Linked DNA regions of Tamandua tetradactyla. The protein of the gene in region 2 interacts with the protein of the main gene of each other region in a biochemical or structural test. Links are inferred from orthologs where the notes say so. Each region holds a gene or a part of one and is shown on either strand. Other genes may lie near its edges. The genes, in order: ENC1 and NFE2L2.

The links.
Region 1: the proteins of NFE2L2 (region 2) and ENC1 form a complex in vitro, tested with the Homo sapiens proteins (2 studies listed by BioGRID). The link is inferred for Tamandua tetradactyla from reciprocal best matches to the Homo sapiens genes NFE2L2 and ENC1.

What each region holds. Positions count from the first base shown.
Region 1 is NC_135347.1:57,736,285-57,745,265, reverse strand, and holds the start of ENC1 (ectoderm-neural cortex protein 1), read right to left. Parts: upstream 4,957-8,981; 5' UTR 4,902-4,956; intron 1,040-4,901; 5' UTR 1,027-1,039; coding exon 1-1,026. UniProt on the Homo sapiens protein: Actin-binding protein involved in the regulation of neuronal process formation and in differentiation of neural crest cells.
Region 2 is NC_135329.1:149,518,350-149,527,330, forward strand, and holds the start of NFE2L2 (nuclear factor erythroid 2-related factor 2), read right to left. Parts: upstream 5,021-8,981; 5' UTR 4,857-5,020; coding exon 4,812-4,856; intron 4,396-4,811; exon of another isoform or gene 4,206-4,395; intron 3,855-4,205; exon of another isoform or gene 3,671-3,854; intron 3,648-3,670; exon of another isoform or gene 2,456-3,647; intron 1-2,455.

The DNA.
Region 1 (8,981 bases), on a different chromosome or scaffold from region 2:
CACTTTGCAGCCAATCGCACACGCACTGAACTCTTTTCTCGGGCTGGGGATGTCGGCCTTGGGAATGATTTCTTTGGCCTTCTGGTCTACCAGATACAGCTTGTCACACATGAAAGTCTGTCCTCCCAGGAGGAAGAGGGCATGGCCGGTTTTCCGAGGCCGGGCGCACAGGCTGGTCACCACGCCGTCGTTCTGCAGGATTTTCAACTTACACCTGATGGCCTCTTCCACGATCTCCTTGCTCTTTCTCTGCTTGGTGACGAGTTCCTCCATAGCCACGTTCTCCATGAGATAGATGGCTGGCAGGAGAGCGAGCCTCACTGTCTGCAACAGCTCTGGGAGGTAACAGTGGCGCTTCTTTAGGTCGTAGCTGACCCAGTTAATTGCAGACTCATACACGAGCCTTTCATCTTCCGTCTCCAGCTCTTCACTGGACAAGAGCTGCACCACCATGTCCTGGGGCAGTTGGAGGAAATCTTCGTTCTTCCTGATGGTTTGGAAGTTGCTGAGACACATCCTCCAGGAGAGCTCGTACAGCTTGGTGCACTGGTGCGCATCGGACAGCAGCAGCATGCCCAGGCAGTTGGTGGGGTGCAGGTTTTTCTCCAGGAACTCTGCGCATGCATCCCGGATGTCCTGAAACTCCAGCATATCACCAGCTTCCAGGAGCGACTCTGCGTTTTCCTCATTGATGATGACCCGGGAGGAATACGCATAGTCGAGGAGCAGCTCCAGGACTTCGGGGTGGATGGAGCTGTCAAAGTTGACCTCGCTGTCCTGGCTCTCCTTCAGGCCCCCACTGAACATGGCTTCGAAGTAGCGGCTGCAAGCAGCCAGCACGGCCCGGTGGCAGGGGAAGGTCCTATTCCCGGCATGGAGAAGGACGTCAGTGAAGAGGCGCTGCTGGCGTAGCAGGTTCAAGTGGGTGAGCACGCTGTCCGCGTAGGAGGACTTGTGGAAAAGGTAGATGTTGATGGAGCCGGTGCTGGCTCTGGACTTGCGGTTCTCGTGCACGCTGACTGACATTTTGTTTCCGCTCCTGAAAACAGACAAACAAAACCAAGCCACTGAATGCGATGCTGCTGATGTTAGGGCAGCAGGATAAAAGCAACTATCTTTTTTTCAGACAAAGAAAGCAGAACGTTCTGCTGTGAGCCCCACAGGGTACAGCAATGCCAGCACAAAGATAAAGGCAGTTAATTATCTGTCAGGAAAGGCTTTCAACTTTCATACTGTTGAGCTATTTGAACTGTACACTGTTAAAAAAAAAAAAATCTCTGCTCAGAAGCAGGTTCATCTTGGAAAACCTGATCGCCAGCTTTCAGCATCCCGAAGTCCCTGAGAACCTAAGTCAGCAGAAGGTGAGGAGAACCAGGTCTCCTTCTCACACCTCCCTGTCCCGGCCCAGCTGATTCACTGCAGATCACTGGAAAATGCCAGGCCTCCTGCTCTCGTAACGCCAGGATGGGCATCGGCTTTAATGCCCTGTGCAGCATAAAGCTATTCTGTAAAACGACACCTACTAATTAATTCCCCTGAGAATTCCTTTGGTAAGACCCAGGCTCCCTGCATTTACAGTAAATAGGAAAAGTAAGATTAAAATCACAAACTTAGGTCACTTCTCTGGTGACCAGCTCTACCGCACCTCAGGAACCTAAAAGCACCCCAGTATAAATCAGCACACAGTGGCCAGAAGGCTCAGTGAATAACACAGAGTAGATGTAGGACACGGTCACCACCGACCTTTCTTACTCCGGACACCTCCCAAAAAGAGCATCTGGACACATAACATCCAGATGCTCTTTTTGAGCAGCATTTTTCTGCTCTTCCTGCTTTATGCCAATTCCTGGAAAACCACTTGCAAGGATATAGGGACTGCCTACCCCTCTCTTTTTTGCCTAAATGGCACATCACCAGGACAGTTCTTGTGTCCCTGCAAATGCCGGCACCTGCCTGTAGGGAGTTCAAAAGTCTAAAGCTGCTTTATTTAAAGTTAAAATGACACACACAAGGTGTGCGACTGTGGGTGAAAGGCAGGGAGTTTAGGATTGTGGATGTCACTAGAAGGAAAGCTAGAGGGTGAAACATGGGACTGTATAACACAGTGAACTCTGCTGTGAACAATGAAGGTAGTTAATAGTACAAATATAAGAATTTCTTTCATGAACTAGCACTGATGCACGTAACTATTATGCATTAATATTAGGGTGGTATGGGGAGAAAACAGACCTAATGCAAACTAGAGTTTATGGGTAACAGCAATATTACAATACTCTTCCATCAACTGTAACAAAGGTACCACACCAGCATTAAGTGTCAATATTACGGGGTTATAAGGGGTGTGTTTTTTTTCTTCTTTTTGGAGCAATGAAAAGGTTCAAAGTTTGATTGTGGTGATGAAAGCACAACGCTGTGATCATGCCGAGAGCCACAGATTATATATGCTGGATGAATTGCAGGGTATGTGAATATAACTGCTTAAATAAATACACACATGTAAAAACACACAGCTAAACGTATATGGTATTTTGCCAGCCACAGTTAAATTAAGGCCATCCTGGAATGTATGTGCTGGTTACTCTGCTTCCCTCGGTGTCAAAAATGAAATTACAGCACACCTAATGTTATCTTTTGACTTTCTTCAGTAAAAACACTGTAGGCTAAAGATACTGGACATGGCACCCTTATCTTTCCTTACCATCTGTCTGCAGGAATTGACTCACGCATCCTTTCTGACACATACCTTTCTGCAATTTCAAAAGAACAAAACCTTCAGAAGCCTGCCTGTCAGAGTTCCTACAGAAGATGTTTATTCCAAGTAGGTAAACTGTGTGGCTACAGTATCTGTTCCAACCCCAGAACAGCCAATGCTCTCCGCACAACTGAAACCCTCAGTGTTTTCTCCAATACTCAGATACGTATTTTCTTTGCTTTGCAAATCGGACATATGAATAAATGCAAATGCATGCTTTACCCCATATTCACGGGCTGCACTACTAAACTGCACTTCCTATGGTGAGCAGTGGGCACAGCAAACAGCACATGTAGGTGCCATATGTGCCCTGGACACCAGGCCACATACCATTAGATGATGCAACTTGTTTCCCTTTATTTTGGAATGTGACTTCTTGTTATGAGTAAACAGGGTTTAGTGGAAGAAAGTACAGGAAAGAGCCCTAAGGCTCTGGCACTAAGAAGCTTTTCAGCCTACAGTGAGGTCTTCACCGTGACGTGGGATATGAAAAATGATGAGAAGCCAAACATCACCCCCCCTTCGATCTAAGCCTCTACTGTCCGGTCTGTTTAAATCCGTGCCTACACTCTAGAAGACGAGCAATGCAAATCTGCGTGAACGCGCCAGGCTTTCAAAGTGTCAAAGCATGTCTTAGTACCCTCCAGGCGCTACACTCTCATCGTCACTTTAAGCAATACATTCCACTTAAAGTACTCTGTGGAAGATTTTAAGCCTAACCCTCAAAAGTGTGGATAAATTCTCTTATGCCTGATACAGAAACTTACAAAAATGGGAAACGAGTAGCTATGCTTTTTAAGAAAAGCTAATGCATCACAACTAACCTCAAAAGCTGCTTCCTGGAAGGCTCAGAGCCAAAGCAGCTCTCGCTGAGGAATGAGGCTCTGCTGCTGCCAGGCACACAGGCACCCAAGTGCCTGAGGCTGAGCTAGAATCACGCTGGGCCCCAGAACATTGGATCCTGGGCAATGTAAAACAGCACCCACGACCAGACTTACACTTAAATAACGCGATCTAGGATATAGGAGTTACCCGCCTCTTTGCAAACCTGTGTTTGTGCTCCTGCAAGTTTGGCACATCAAGCCAGAAAAGGAAGAACCTGGCCCATCATCTTGGACGCCATCCAGATGGAAAAACATGCCACGGACAAATAATAACCCTCTCGCAGTGGTGCTTGATTAAAATAAAAAGTAAACTTAAAGGCCGAAGGGAATGACTTGCTTTCTGGATTCAAAATTATGCAGACATCAAAATATCTGCAGAAACCATTCACACACTCAGTAAACACACCTTCAGTATGAAATGACTCCTCCTTTCGGCATTGTTTGAAGCCACCAGAGAAATATGTGCGTGCCGAGTGACCGAGAAAATGCACACATAGTCCCTAACCTGTGTCTACAAAGAATACCCGGGAGAGGGCTGCTGCTGGGTGGGCGTCAAACGGGCTCCTGGTCGGTCTCTCTGCCCTGGCCCTTCACGTCCCGTCCCGTCCCATCTCACCAGGTTTTGAACTTGATCTCAGCTCAAAGGAGAAACCGGGCAGCTTTCCTCGGGTACTGACGTTCCTGGAACGCCACCTTAAAGATCTGAGCAAGAAAAGCGCTTTGCCCTCCAGTCCTCTAAACGCTGGCGGCTCGCGGCCGGGGCCGGCGAGGGCGACACGACACTGCGTGGCCAACAAACTTCGCGTCTCGTCGCCACCCGCCCGCCAAGCCCTAGGCTCGGAAATGAGTAACGTTCCCCTAAAGACCGAGCACCGGTTGTTCAGCAACCAGTCTCAGCCGCTCCCGGGACACTCCGTTCTGCCTGGCCGGTGTGTCCACTCGGGACGTGTGCACGCGTGGCCCCCACTCTCCCGGCGCACTCGGTCCCGAGGTTTGCAGGTCACAGGAACACGCGCGGCGGCGTGGGGGGCGTGAGCCTGCGTGGTTCTGTCCCCGCCACTCTCCCCACCGCGGCGCCCGGCTCCTGCTTCCCGCGGGCGGGCAGAGGCACGCGCGGTCCCTGCACGGGCACAGCTGGCCCGGCTCGGAGCTCGCGGCCCTGGGGCGCGCACCAAACCCCCCTCCAGGAACCCGCCCCGCGGCCAAGCAGCCCCGGCCAACCGCCCGCCGGGGCCCGCAACAGGTCGGCGGCGGAGGGAACTTACGGCGGCGGCGGCCTCCGCGCACGGCCGGCTCGTTCCGGCCTGGGTTTCGGCGCGCGCGCGGGGGGCGAGGTGGGCGGCAAGGCCCGGGGCGCAGCAGCGCCGGCCGAGGGGAGGAGCGCGCGGGGACGGCCACCGCCGGCGGCTCGTCCGGGTCCGCGGTCCCCACGCCGCGGAGTGCGTCTCCGGGGCAGCCGAGCGGGCGGAGCGCCGGGGGAGGGAGCAGGACGGCGCCGCGCACGCCCGCGTCTGGGCTCGGGAGCGCCGCTGCCGCCGTGCGCCTCCTCCTCGGCTGCCGGAGCGGACTGCGCCGGGCGGCGGAGCGCCGGCTTTAAGCGGGGAGGGGGGAGGGGGAGGGGGAGGGCGGGGTGGGGGAGGAGGCGGGGGGAGGGGGAGGAGGCGGAGGGGCGCGCGGGCCGAGGAAGCGGTCGGGGGGGAGGGGAGGGCGCGCGGCGCCGGCCGAGGGGCGGCGGGGGAGTTGCCGGGCACAGGAAGCGGGGGGCGGGCCGGCCGCGCGGGGAGGGACGAGGCGGCCGCTGGGTCTCTGCCGCCCGCAGCTGCCGAGCCTTGGGGACCGAGACGAAGCCGGCCCGAGTGGCTCACCGATGGCCAGTCCCGCAGCTGAGGGAGCCGTGCCGGTGATCCCGGCCCCGCGCCGTCACAGTCCGCCGAGATGCTCGGGAACGGGGCGCAGGCCGCCTTGGGCGCCCGCGACCCACGTCCTGCTTAGGACTCCGGATGGGGGGCAGCGACGAGGGAAGGGGCACATGGCTGGACACTCCGGGGACACTGCAGGTCGCGGGCTGAGGGTTTCCTGCAAGCTGTGGGCGTCTCCCACGTGTCCTGGGCGCGGGCCCCCGCGGCCCGGGTCCCCGCGCAGGCCGGCTCTGCGCCCCTCCCCTCCCAGCGCCCCGGCCCCGCTCCGGGCGGTGCAGCCAGCCTGGGCCGAGCCCTGAGATCCGGCTTTTCCCACATCCGTCGCACCGTGGGCTCGGTGCTGAGTCCGGTACACACGCCTGCAAAGCGCCTCTGCGGGCCGGGAGGAAGGCAGGCCACCCGGGAAGTAACGCCGCACGCCCCAGACCGCTTAGGAACCCCCTTTCTTGTCTCTGCACAAAGGCTCTTCTGTCCGCCAAGAGCTAAAACCCCTGTGGGGCTGCAGGCGGCTTTTGGGGGCAAACGTCTCACACAGAAGACGGGAGTTGGCCGGCCCCAGGGCGCTTAACAAGTGGCGCAGCCGCGCCGCTCGCGAGGCCTCGGCCTGTGGGTTGTGCCGGCCTCCTTCGCCCGCCTCAGCTTTCTTTAAAATGCTGGGCGCAGGAGTGGGGGCCCCCCGGCTCCAGCTGCGCCCCCGGGGCCCACAAACGGCTGGAACCGAGACTCAGCTCTTTATTCTAATCCCGGGTTCCTCTACCCGCATTCCCTCCTGGCATTCGGGGAACCCCACTCCCTGCAAACAAAGGAAAACAGTGCCCTCTGAAGTCCTTTGCTAGCATTTACTCATCAGCCACACGAGTCTTAAAAAATCCGTTTCGTGTTTGGATTTTTTCTGCAGAGCCTCGGCTCCAGACTCCTTCCCACAGGCAGAGACGGGCCCCATCCAGTCACTGTGGCCCCACGGGCAATCCTGGGGGGCCCTGGGCGGAGAGAATAGCTCTGGGAGCAGAACTCTGTTTCTGGAGAAGATTCTACGAAGAACAAACGTACAGAAACACTGTATACCTCAGCAATAGATGCCGAAAAGATAGAAGGTGGAAATGTGCATCTATGGCATGTCTGTCTGTAGCCTGCGGCAAGGTGCGGGGGACACTGGTCACAGCCTCCTAGAGCACTCTGTTTGGGGTGTGGGTTAAAAGCAAGCAAAGGTGATTTTGAAGACAAAGTGTTAATGTCTTCCATTTGGGGACATTTTCTGTTTAGGCTAAGAGAGTAACACTTTTTCTCATTAAAGAAAAGTCCTTCCTTTTACTTCAGTCTCTTACCAAATCTACCTAGAACTCTACCCAGAGGACCTTGCCTGGGAACGAAATACGTAAATAGGTCGGCTGGTTTTGCTTCACGAAGCCATAGAGCTAGGAACAGGGCATAGGTTTCTCTTGCATTTTTACCACCTGGAAATTGCAGAATGTCCTAAACTAAGGGGCAGCAGGTTTACTTGCTTTTGCAAAGAGCTTTGCTAAGCAGGCAGGCTAAGAAAGGGGTGAAATTCCTTAGCCATGTGCCAGCATCCGCTGACAGCATTTTCCAGTGTCTCGTCTACCTGACAGCGCCACTTTTCTGTACCTCAAGGAAAAAAATAGTGTTAGCCCAGAAAATCTCGAAATGTATTTCGAGACCATACACATTACTTCATCTGCCTCAAGGAGATAAGAAACGTGAGGCAGAGAAATTATATAGATTATAAAAACTGGAAAACCTTTTCCTGCTGAAAGACACAGGAACTAAACTTGTGTTTTTGCAAAGTGTGTGCCGCCAGTGACCTCCTACCAAGTGTACACGTGTTTGCTTGAACAAATGTATCAAAAGTTTTGGGGCCTGCGGGCAGTTTCTAATGTTTATCCTCCAACTGCAAGTGATTTGTAAGTTAGCATATTTAACATCCTAGCACGTCAAAGTGCTTAATTCCTGCAACATCTCCCAGCCAATCCTAAAGGTACCCCTGACCATGCCACTCCTGGGAAGAAAAGTGAGCCAGACCTGTGTCTCTCCAGGAAGATACCTCCAGCAGACCTCGGAACAAGCCAGACGATAGAGGGAGTAATGGATGGGCTGAGTATGAAACAACTCAGGAAATGTCTTAGGTGTCTACTTTCTACAGTGGCCACCACCTCACTCAAGATGTTAGGCCAGTGCCAGCGGACTCTGGGAGCTGGTCTTCAGCTCTCCCTTTTGACACTACACTGAGGTCTCATTTTTAATGCTAGTAAGCTGTGCCCAAGGCTTTGGCCTTGTTATCTCCCTTAACAACCTTATTTTGTTAGGCTGCAAAATAAGCAGCATGGGGTTAAGCGTATTAGCTACCTTCAAACCTAATTTATCTTCATTTCTTCCTAATTTACACTTGGGCTGAATTAATGAGAATGATTTAATTAACCTCGTACAATCATGGGACCAGGGATAGGACAGCTCCAGGGAGAGACCGAGCAGTGGGGCAGGGGCTAAGCAGCTGCCATCCTGCCTTCTGTGACCCACCGGAGCCCCACCCAAATCTCAGACATGTCCCCGCCAGGGTTCCCAAAGCACCCTCTTTGTCTTTTGATTCCCTTCTCAAGTGTGGGTGAGGACAAAGGCACAGCTTCCCTTTCTTGTGCTGTTTGTGAGATGGGCTTCAAGCCTGTGCCCTGTAGTCAGTGTGGCAGCAGGGACCAGCCGTCCGCCCAGGACTTGTGCTGTTTGTGAAATGGGCTTCAAGCCTGTGCCCTGTAGTCAGTGTGGCAGCAGGGACCAGCCGTCCGCCCAGGACTTGTGCTGTTTGTGAGATGGGCTTCAAGCCTGTGCCCTGTAGTCAGTGTGGCAGCAGGGACCAGCCGTCCGCCCAGGACTTGTGCTGTTTGTGAGATGGGCTTCAAGCCTGTGCCCTGTAGTCAGTGTGGCAGCAGGGACCAGCCGTCCGCCCAGGACTTGTGCTGTTTGTGAGATGGGCTTCAAGCCTGTGCCCTGTAGTCAGTGTGGCAGCGGGGACCAGCCATCCACCCAGGACTTGTGCTCCTTCTGCAGTTTCACGCTAGTGTTGGGATGTGGGATGTCGTGTTGGGTCGGGAACTGCACCTCCCAGCCCTCCTTACACCTGGGGAAGGTAGGGGAGGAGGCAGGAGAGGCAGAGGGAGAAGCTGAGCTGGGGTGCTTTGTTGGTTTAGAGACATTATGGGCCCCAGAAGATCATGTTCTCAAAGCTGACCCATTCCTGCGGGTGTAGACCTATTGTGGGTGGTTCTGGTTGGGTCATTTCAGTGGAAGCCTGCCCCAGAGGGGGTTCTACTCCTCTTAACCATAAGGAGTCCTGTATAAGAGAATGAAATTCAGAGAAAGACAGAAGATGGAGAAAAGGACATAGAAGCTGCGAGAGAAGGCTACAGATGGAGC
Region 2 (8,981 bases):
AACCTTGAAAACATTATGCTAGGTGAAAGAAGCCAGTCACAAAAGACCACATATTGAATAGTACCACTTACATGAAACGTACCAGAATAGGTAAATCCATAGGCAAGTAAAACAGATAAGGGGTGGTAATTTCTAACGGGTAGGAGGGTTCTTTCTGGGATGATGAAAATGTTCTAAAGTTGCTTGTGGTGATTACTGCACAACTCCATTAATACACTAAACACTGAACTAAATATTTTAAATGGGTGATTTATATGATAAGTAGTATCTTAATAAATTTTTTTTTTAATATAAAATCTATGTCCAGTTCTCAAGGAATTTACAATCTAGCTGTAGGGAAAAAAAAACAGATTCACAGGCAAAACAAGCATCAACAAAGATTTTAAAAGTCATGTATAGAGAAAAATCCAAGTAATCAGAAAATAAAAGCTACATGTCCAGAAAGAGGCATCAAAGCCAAAGTGATGCTATTTTTCTTTTCTAACCCAATCATTCTTCTCCGAATTGAAAAAGCAGTAGAGCTCATCACTGTGCTCCCAGTAATAGAGGTCTCAAAGTCTCAATTTCTAACCTTATGAAAAAGGTATAATTAGTCAGCATTGCCAAGGAATGTTTTGTAATCCTTCGGAATACAGGCTATTGATGGATTACAATGACGCTCAAGAGTCAATTATCAAAAGAGTCTTTGAAAGGTGAACTTAGTGCTCTAAATCCTTCTTAATTTCCTGGATTTGTCTTTACCACAGTTCGGACCAAACTTACAGGCGCACGCACACACACACAAGACTTTGAAACATCAAACTTCATGACACACAAGTATTTTATAGTACATATGCCATAAAAACTGTTGGGTAAAAGTGCTTTCCACTCTGAGTTTCTAATATTCTTAATATTAAGAGTTATTATAGCTGACATAGAAAATTCCAACTTCAGATAGGGCAGGATATTGTTTGGTAGTCTTGTAACAAATCTTTTTAAGGGTGGTTTAGTGTAAGAACACTGATCATATTTTCCAATACTGAATGAGAATATAAATACGAAACTCTTGAACATACTTTTGCCTTCAAACCATTATCAATTCAAGAAGCTTAAGCCTATACACATAACACTGCCAAGTTCATTTCCTAAGAACAAAGTTATTCACTTATATAACCACCTTAAGCACAGTTATCAAGTTCAATAAATTTAACACTGATAAAATGCTTATAGTCTATATTCCAAATTTCTGACATGTTTCAATGAAGTTCTTTTGAGTCTTTTCTCCTGTTAGATCCCATCCAGAAATGCGTATTACATTTCATTGTTATTGTCTCCACAAAGCCCTTCTTAAATAAATGTTTGCTGGAGGCTTTGTTTAAAAAGCAATAAAACTTCAGTAACTCTTAGAAATCAGATTATCAAAACAAACTTTATTGTCCATCTTATGTTAAGCTTAAGCATGTTTCTCTAACTACAGGTGAAGAGAAGCAGCTAAGTACTACATTTGGTAAACCTGTCCTTCTATCTTTGGTATGTGTATTTCTGAAAACCTTCTACAAGTTATTCGGCCAAGCATTTAAATACCCTTGATTTACTCTTAGGCAAATCACCCATTGGATCCAAAAAGTCCAGCAGCAAACTTTTAACACAGACAAATACAACAATAATCCCAAATATAATTTGTTTAACGACAAGGATTAAGAAATAAAGTATTTAATTTTGAAATGCACTATTCCCAAAGTCCCAAATAAGCTTCACCTAGATAGACGTGAGCCCTTCCACTTGCTTCAGTTTGTAAGTGCCAAAACAGGGGATTAGTGTTTAATCTGCGCCAACAGGTTTCTGCTAGCTGTATTCAACTAGAATTCACCCCCTTCTACCCAAGTTCCTTCAACCTGGTTTAACCCTGTCAGTCCCACTCTTCACCATAACCTCATCAAAAAATTTATTTTTGATCACTACTTCAAAATAAAAAGTGCCACTGAATCGGAAAATATACCAACCAGTAAGGCAAACAAAGGTAAACAAAAACTTCCGTAACTACGAGATTTAACTTAACAAAAGGAAAGTTATCTCTGGGAATTGGGAGACAGAAACAAGGACACTGTTAAAATCCCAGGAAGTTTTAAAATTATTATGTTAGCAAATGGTTCTGCCTCTCTAAATTAAAACCACCTAGGCCTCTGTCTTTCTTAAAAGGATCACGTGCGGTAATTACATTGACAGGCTGGTATTTACTCTTATTTTATATCACAAGGTCTACCTCCTTCCTCCCAAACAGTTATCAAATTTCTTGGTAACCTGAAAAGGTGTCTACATTCATCTTTCAAATTCCTGACCCTCTTTCCCCAGTTTTTCTCAACTTACCACTTTATAAAGCCCGAGACTTCCTCCTGTTTAAAGTTTTACTAGTTTTGATCTAGTCCTAAAGTGTTTAAGAGCCACTGGAGTCAGACTGCCTCAGATTCAGTCCTACCTCCACGACTCAACGGCTGGGTCACCTAAAGCAGAACTTTTAGCCTCTCTCTGCCTCCTTTCTCACCTGCAAAAAGAAGATAATAGTATTTCGTATGGGGTGACTGTGAAATTATGCATGCGAAGCAATTAGCACACAGTCTAGCTCATTGGAAGTGCCCAATAACTCATATCAGTTATTATCATCTTAGTGCCAAATTCTTTCTGCACCCAAGAGTTTATGCTGAAAAATGTTAACCCAGGTTCAAGGAAAATTTAAAGAGGAAATATTATTTACACAAAAGCCCCCTTTAAATGTGTTAAGCCAGAGAGAGGAAATTCCCAGAAAAAAAAAGAGGGTTCCTTTTCTCACATCATCTTCTGAGTAGTCATCTTGAATAAAAACAAATATTAAAAAAATAATAAAACATTGGGCTTTCAAATCTGCCTGGAAAAAGAAACTTTTTTCCCAGCATTTTTTATAAGATCCCAAGTTAGCAAGAAAGAAATAAATACTTCAAATGGCCCAAGTTATTTTAATGCAGAAAGACTTGAGTGAGTTGTGCATTTATCCTCCTACACGTTGCTTCCCCACGTGTGGGAAATAGAGTGCTCTAGACTACAATTCCTGAATACAGGAAAACTGAAGTCCATTGGCTCATACGTGCATTGGTCAAAAAAGCATTCCTACAGATTACTCTTGAACAGAAGCTAAATAGGAAAGTACAATTTACTTCTTCATACTATCGGGAACTAGAAGAATACCATCCCAGTCACTAATGAGGGAAAGTCCAAGACTTTAAAGAAAACAACAGCACAATGAATACATCGTCAATAGCTCAAAAGCTTACATCAGAGTTTCAGGATTAAACTAAAACTTTATATTCAAGAGCATTAACAAATTTATCACTATCTATCAAGTTACAAATTGCCATCAACCAAAATTTTTTCTTAAATTCTAATATACAAATATCTACTACTTTAAAAAGTTCCTACAAAGTATGAAAGGAAATTTGTTTTCACTTTTATAACAATTTACAGAACTTGTTAGCAAACCATTATGAAAACAGAAGTTTCCCACCCTCCTTGCAAAAGAATCAACATGCTAAGAAATGAGGCAAATTCTCAAACAGAAAAGAAAACATATATAAGGCACCCAAGGGGAGAATAATAGCTGAACGCCAACAAAATGACCCTAAAAGCAACAAAAATTCTAATCTACACTCTCAACTCTTACCCTTTACAGCACAGAACAGATAATCCTCCCTTACACATTTTGGAATTGCAATTCAGAAATCCTAAATCCAAAGACAAAGCCGCCCTGGGGAAAATAACAATTGCGCAACAGATCAACAGCTCCAACTTGTCCCTTGGCCGCGGCGAGGTTTGCACGCTATAAAGCAGGAAAGGGCCAACCAAGGGCCTCCGTGACAGCCAACCGGCCCCTGTCACGCAGGCCGCAGCCACGCACGCGGCGTGCGCCACCGGGAGGCACAGCGCCCGGAACCAAAAGTCTTGGGCGCCGCGAACTCGGACTTCACAGTCCGCCCCTCGCCCGCACTTTCCGCGGGGCAGCGAGGGGCCGACCGGGTGGGTCCTGAATTCCGGATCCCAAACCTTTGCCGCGGTCGGAGGATGCGCGTGGGGCTGGGTCTTGCGGCACGTCGGGGCGTTAGAGAGCGATGGACACTTCATGACCTCCTCCCTCCCCTGAAGGCTGAGCTTTCTAGCTCAAGGCGGCCAAAGACTGAGTTGACGGAGTGACTGATTACTTTGCAAAGAAGTACCCATAGACGGCCCAACGGGGTGGGCGCGCTGCACGACAGCTCGCACCCGCGAAGGTCTTGAGACCTGAGGCGGTGGCCGAGGAGGGCCTCTGAGTCCGGCCTAGCAAAGACTTCAGCTCCCCCGAGAGTGGCCCCGTGACTAGGCACATTTTTGCCGGCTCCGAGGCGGGGGAGACGCGCAGCAGCGGAAGGGCCGGGCTGCGCCGGCTCAGACCGCGGGTGTCCACCCCCTCCTGTTCTGCAGCCTCTGGGCCGCTCAAACTCGGGGGACCGGCGGAGGCTCCCGCGTCCCAGCGCTAGGGAGCGGACACGCGGCAAGTTACGCCCCCCCCCCCAGACCCCTCCGCTCCAGGCTCCCTCGGGTGCTGAGGACTCGTCGTCTGTCAGGACACCCGACCTCATCTCCACTCCCTCGCGCCCCCTTAGGCCCCCGCTACCCTCCTCCAGGCTCCAGTTCTTGGCCGCTGCAGTCCCTGCTCCGGCCACAGACGGGAGGAGAAACGCTGGCGGCTGTCCCTCTAGGGCCGCGAACCCCGCCCGCCCCTGCCCGGTCCCTGCACCTCCGCGGAGCCCCGAGGGCAGGGACAGCACCTGCTGGGACGGTAGTCCCGGCGGCGGCAGCTCCAAGTCCATCATGCTGAGCTGGGGACCGTGGGCTGGGGCTCCCCGACGACTGCCCTGAACCCGACTGCCGAGGCGCGGACACGGAGGCAGTGGCGACGGCGGCGACTCCTCCGGGCTGCCCGGCGCTCGCCGCTCGGCTACACCGCCTGAGTCGCCGGCGTTGCTCTTGCCCCGCTCCGCCTCCCGCCCTCCCGAAGGCGGGGCAAGAGCCTGGGCCCTTCCTTCCCCGGCTTGCGGTGCAAGCGAAGCCTGCGAAAATTCCCCACCCCCGCCCGGCTGACGCAAGAGCTCAGGGTCCCGGCGCCGGAAGGGCCGCGGGCCCGGGTCCCTGTGGGCGGTCGCGGGCTGGCGGGGTGGTGAGCGCAAGCTTCCTTTAGCTCCTCTGTCCCCGCGCTCAGTTTGTCTTCCTCTCAAATAAGACCAGTGGTCTCCACCCGGGAGATTAAGAGTTGTTTGCCGAAGGTCGCTGGGGTTGGGCGCTTTCAAACAGTTGTAACAAACACGCCCGAAGACCGGGCAAGGGCGCTGGTATCGGATCTGCGCCTCCCTGATTTGAAGTTACAGAACCTTGCCCTGCTTTATCACACCCCGCCGCCTGAGAGTGGCGCCAGCCCGGGGGGCGGGGGGAGGGGAGGAGAGCTAAAACCCAGGTGGTGCGCACCGCGAACTGCCCTCTCGCCCTCTGTTTCCGCCGGGGCGGAGGCAAGCAGGTCCTGCCCAGGGGAGGTGTGGACCGCACCGGGAGTTCGGGCTTGCAGTCACCCTGAACGCCCTCTACTTACTCCCATACGTTTGCACTCTCGATAGGGTCAGATTGCCAAGGTCAAAGGAAGAAGTCCCCTTTGGTCACAGAGTGGTCAATATTACCCGCCGAGAGCTGGGCAAAAATGGGAACCCCACGAGCTTTCTTTTCCTACCAAGGTGCACAAACCACGCCACGGAATGGTGTAACGCTACAACATGCTAAAATTCTTGACTTTATTTTCAATTTATTCACGATATAGTTAAAAAAAAAAAAGACGAAGTTACAAAACGGTTAGTAGAGTATGGGCCCGTTTTTAAAAAACATGCCTAGGAAAAAAATTAAGGATGTTCACCAAAATAATAAATGTGGGATCGTGAACGGATTTTATCTTTCTCTTTTATTACCTTATGCTTTAAACCTACAATGAATATGTATTACTTTCTACATTAAAAAAGTTATTTAAAAATTAATCATTACATAACATTAAGTATTTGAAAATAGGAATATTGTGAAATCTTATATAAAACAAAAGAGAAATGGCGTTTTTTCCCTGATGTTTCTAATTTTTAAACTGGTTTTCAGTTTCTAGCTTCTTGGGATTATTAGAAAGGAAGTGAAGTAGATAGTGTTGGCAGTGGTTTTACTATGTCATTCAAGAATCTGCCTCCTCTCTTTCCAATAAACTGTAGAATTTATTTTATCTTGGTTGCATAATTTGACACGCCCCGGACTTACCTGTAAATTATATCTTCAAATAATCCTTGAGAAAGGTGAAGCCTAAATTAATTACTTGTAATTGAAGCAAGCTTCTTCAGCCATAAACCCATTCAGCTGTTATGTGAAAAGCCTGCAAAAGGATCTGCGCACTGAAAACAAGCTTGGGAGAAATTATTTACAAAGAACCTGACATGAACTATGCAGAGACATCATAATGAAATGACATTTCTGCATCAAAGAAAAAAGACAAGAATATATTGTTAACAATTTGAGTTACTTTTTAAAACTACTACATAAGAAGGTGGACAAAGAGTCTAGGAGATAGGAGATACACAAATCATATATGATATGGTTGCTGCCCTCAAGGAGTTTATAAAGTATTTGGTATTTCTTTGTTAAGCAACAAGAGTTCCATTGAGTTTAGACTGAATGAAATAATCTTCACTTACACAAAACTGCAATTTACTATGGGTATATTATTTCAGGCACCTGCAAAGTACATATTTTCAAAGGGAGGAGAACAACATGGTGAGAGTCTGAACGTGTTTAAGAAATAAAGACATTAGGAAAAGCCATTTGGCACTGAATGGTGGTTCAGCACAAGAAAAGGGAATCCCAGTCTCAGAAGACTCATGTCAAAGAGGTTTCCAGTTTTAGAAACACTAAGATAAGAATTGTCTCCATGAGAGAGCCTTGGCTCTAGCTTTGCCCTCTACACTTGCAAATTCTGCTATGGAGGTGCACATACTGCTTATCGGGAGGTTCCAGGAAAGCAGGAAAGAGGAGGTGCTGTTTTTTCTCATCTTCCTGATGCCATGGGGGCCCTTTTTACTACCATCCTCTTCTAGCCTACTATTTTGCTTTTTCTCCCAATTGGCTTTACAATCTACTGACCCTAGATTTCCACTGATGTCTGAATTCTTTCCTGTCTTTGGAAAGAAAGCCCCCTATATAGTCTTGTAATGTGTCAGACTTGTAATGTCTTATGCTAGAGTTCTCATAAAGATGAGCATTATCAAGTAAGCCTTCTGAGTTCACAAATTTAGGATAAAGGTCATGCATTGACCATTTGTTCACCTTCTTCTCCATACTGTAGTCTGCCAAGTTGCAAGGCCCTAGAACATACCTACTGTTTAAAAATCCTCCATCACCTTGAGGCCTCTTCCTTCTTCTTGCTTCCTCTCAATTTTACTTCCTCTTTGAGCCAGAAAATATTCAGAAACTCCTGGAATTATAGTTGAAATTCTACTTTGTCCACCTTACAGTTGAAGTATATGGGGTCGCTAGTTTCCAAAGATGGCCTCCAATGAACCACCCCTCCTGATTTTGATATTGTTGTATGTTCTCTCCCACATCAAATCAAGGCTGGCCCTCTGACTTGCTTTAGCTGATGAAGGGAGGCCAGAAGTGACACTTTGCCAGGTCCAGGTTTAAGACTTAGGAAGGCTTGGTAGCTTTCAATTTACACTCTTGGAAGTCAGGCATCATGTAAGAAGTCTGACTTCCTTAATGGCGAGAGAAACCATAGGGAAAATGGGACTTCAAGTGGAGAGAATCTGTCTATATTAACCAAGGCACCAAATTTGTCAATGAAGTCAAGCCCCCAGAGGACTCCACCCTCACTTGCTATTTATCTACCATTGCATGAAAGACTCCAAGCAAGACCGTAGAAAACTGCCTAGACAGACCAGTCAACCCAAAGAATTGTGAAAGAATATAATTAACTTGTTTTTAGCCACTGAATTTTAGGGTGGTTTGTTTCATAGCAATAGATAAGCCAATCAGCATGTATTGAATATCAAAGGCAGGGTTCTATTGGCTGCTTTTTGTTTGTTAACCATCGCTGGGAACACATATAGGGATGGTAGTTGCAATTTAATAGGGTCTCATCCCTCCGAAGCTAATTGACCTCTTTGGGAATAAAGAAGTTATTTTTCCAGTAATATATACTTGTTTCTCCATACAAACTAAATCACCTGATCACATCATGCACCAATTTCCATACCATTAAATAGATGATAAAATATTTTTCTTATCAAAATACAATTAAGGGAAAAAAAATACAGTTAAGGGGGTGCAAGGGTAGTTCAGTGGTAGAATTGTCGCCTGCCTTGTGGGAGACCCAGGTTAGACAGATTCCAGGTCCATGCACTTCCCAAAAAACAAACAAACAAAAATCTAGCAAATGGTGCTGCAATAACGGATACTCACATGGGAAAATAATTAAATGTGACCCCGCCATATAGCATACAAAAAAAAAAAAAACAGTTAAGAAACACAGATACTCCGACACTTATGTAGATGGAGGCATAAATGCATACAGAGACTCTGGCCCTGACATGATTTCATTTATATGAGTTATGTAAGATACTCAACTAAATATCTGATTAGGGAATTTGAACCTGAGAAGTCCCTGCCCAGTGAATAAACTGAACTCCAGTAGAGCAGTATTCAAAATCATTGGTGTATTAATTTGCAAACACACCCATAACCTTGGTTCCTTGATATGTATACCTCATTATACAAACTACTTGTGCAAAGAGGTGTATATCTATAAAGCCGATTTTAACTCATATAGTTTCCTATTAATAGATACTGCCCTTCAGGAATAGCAATGCAGCAAGTAAGGGGGTAAAACCGGAAGTTTGACAGAATGCTTTTGAATTATATGTGCA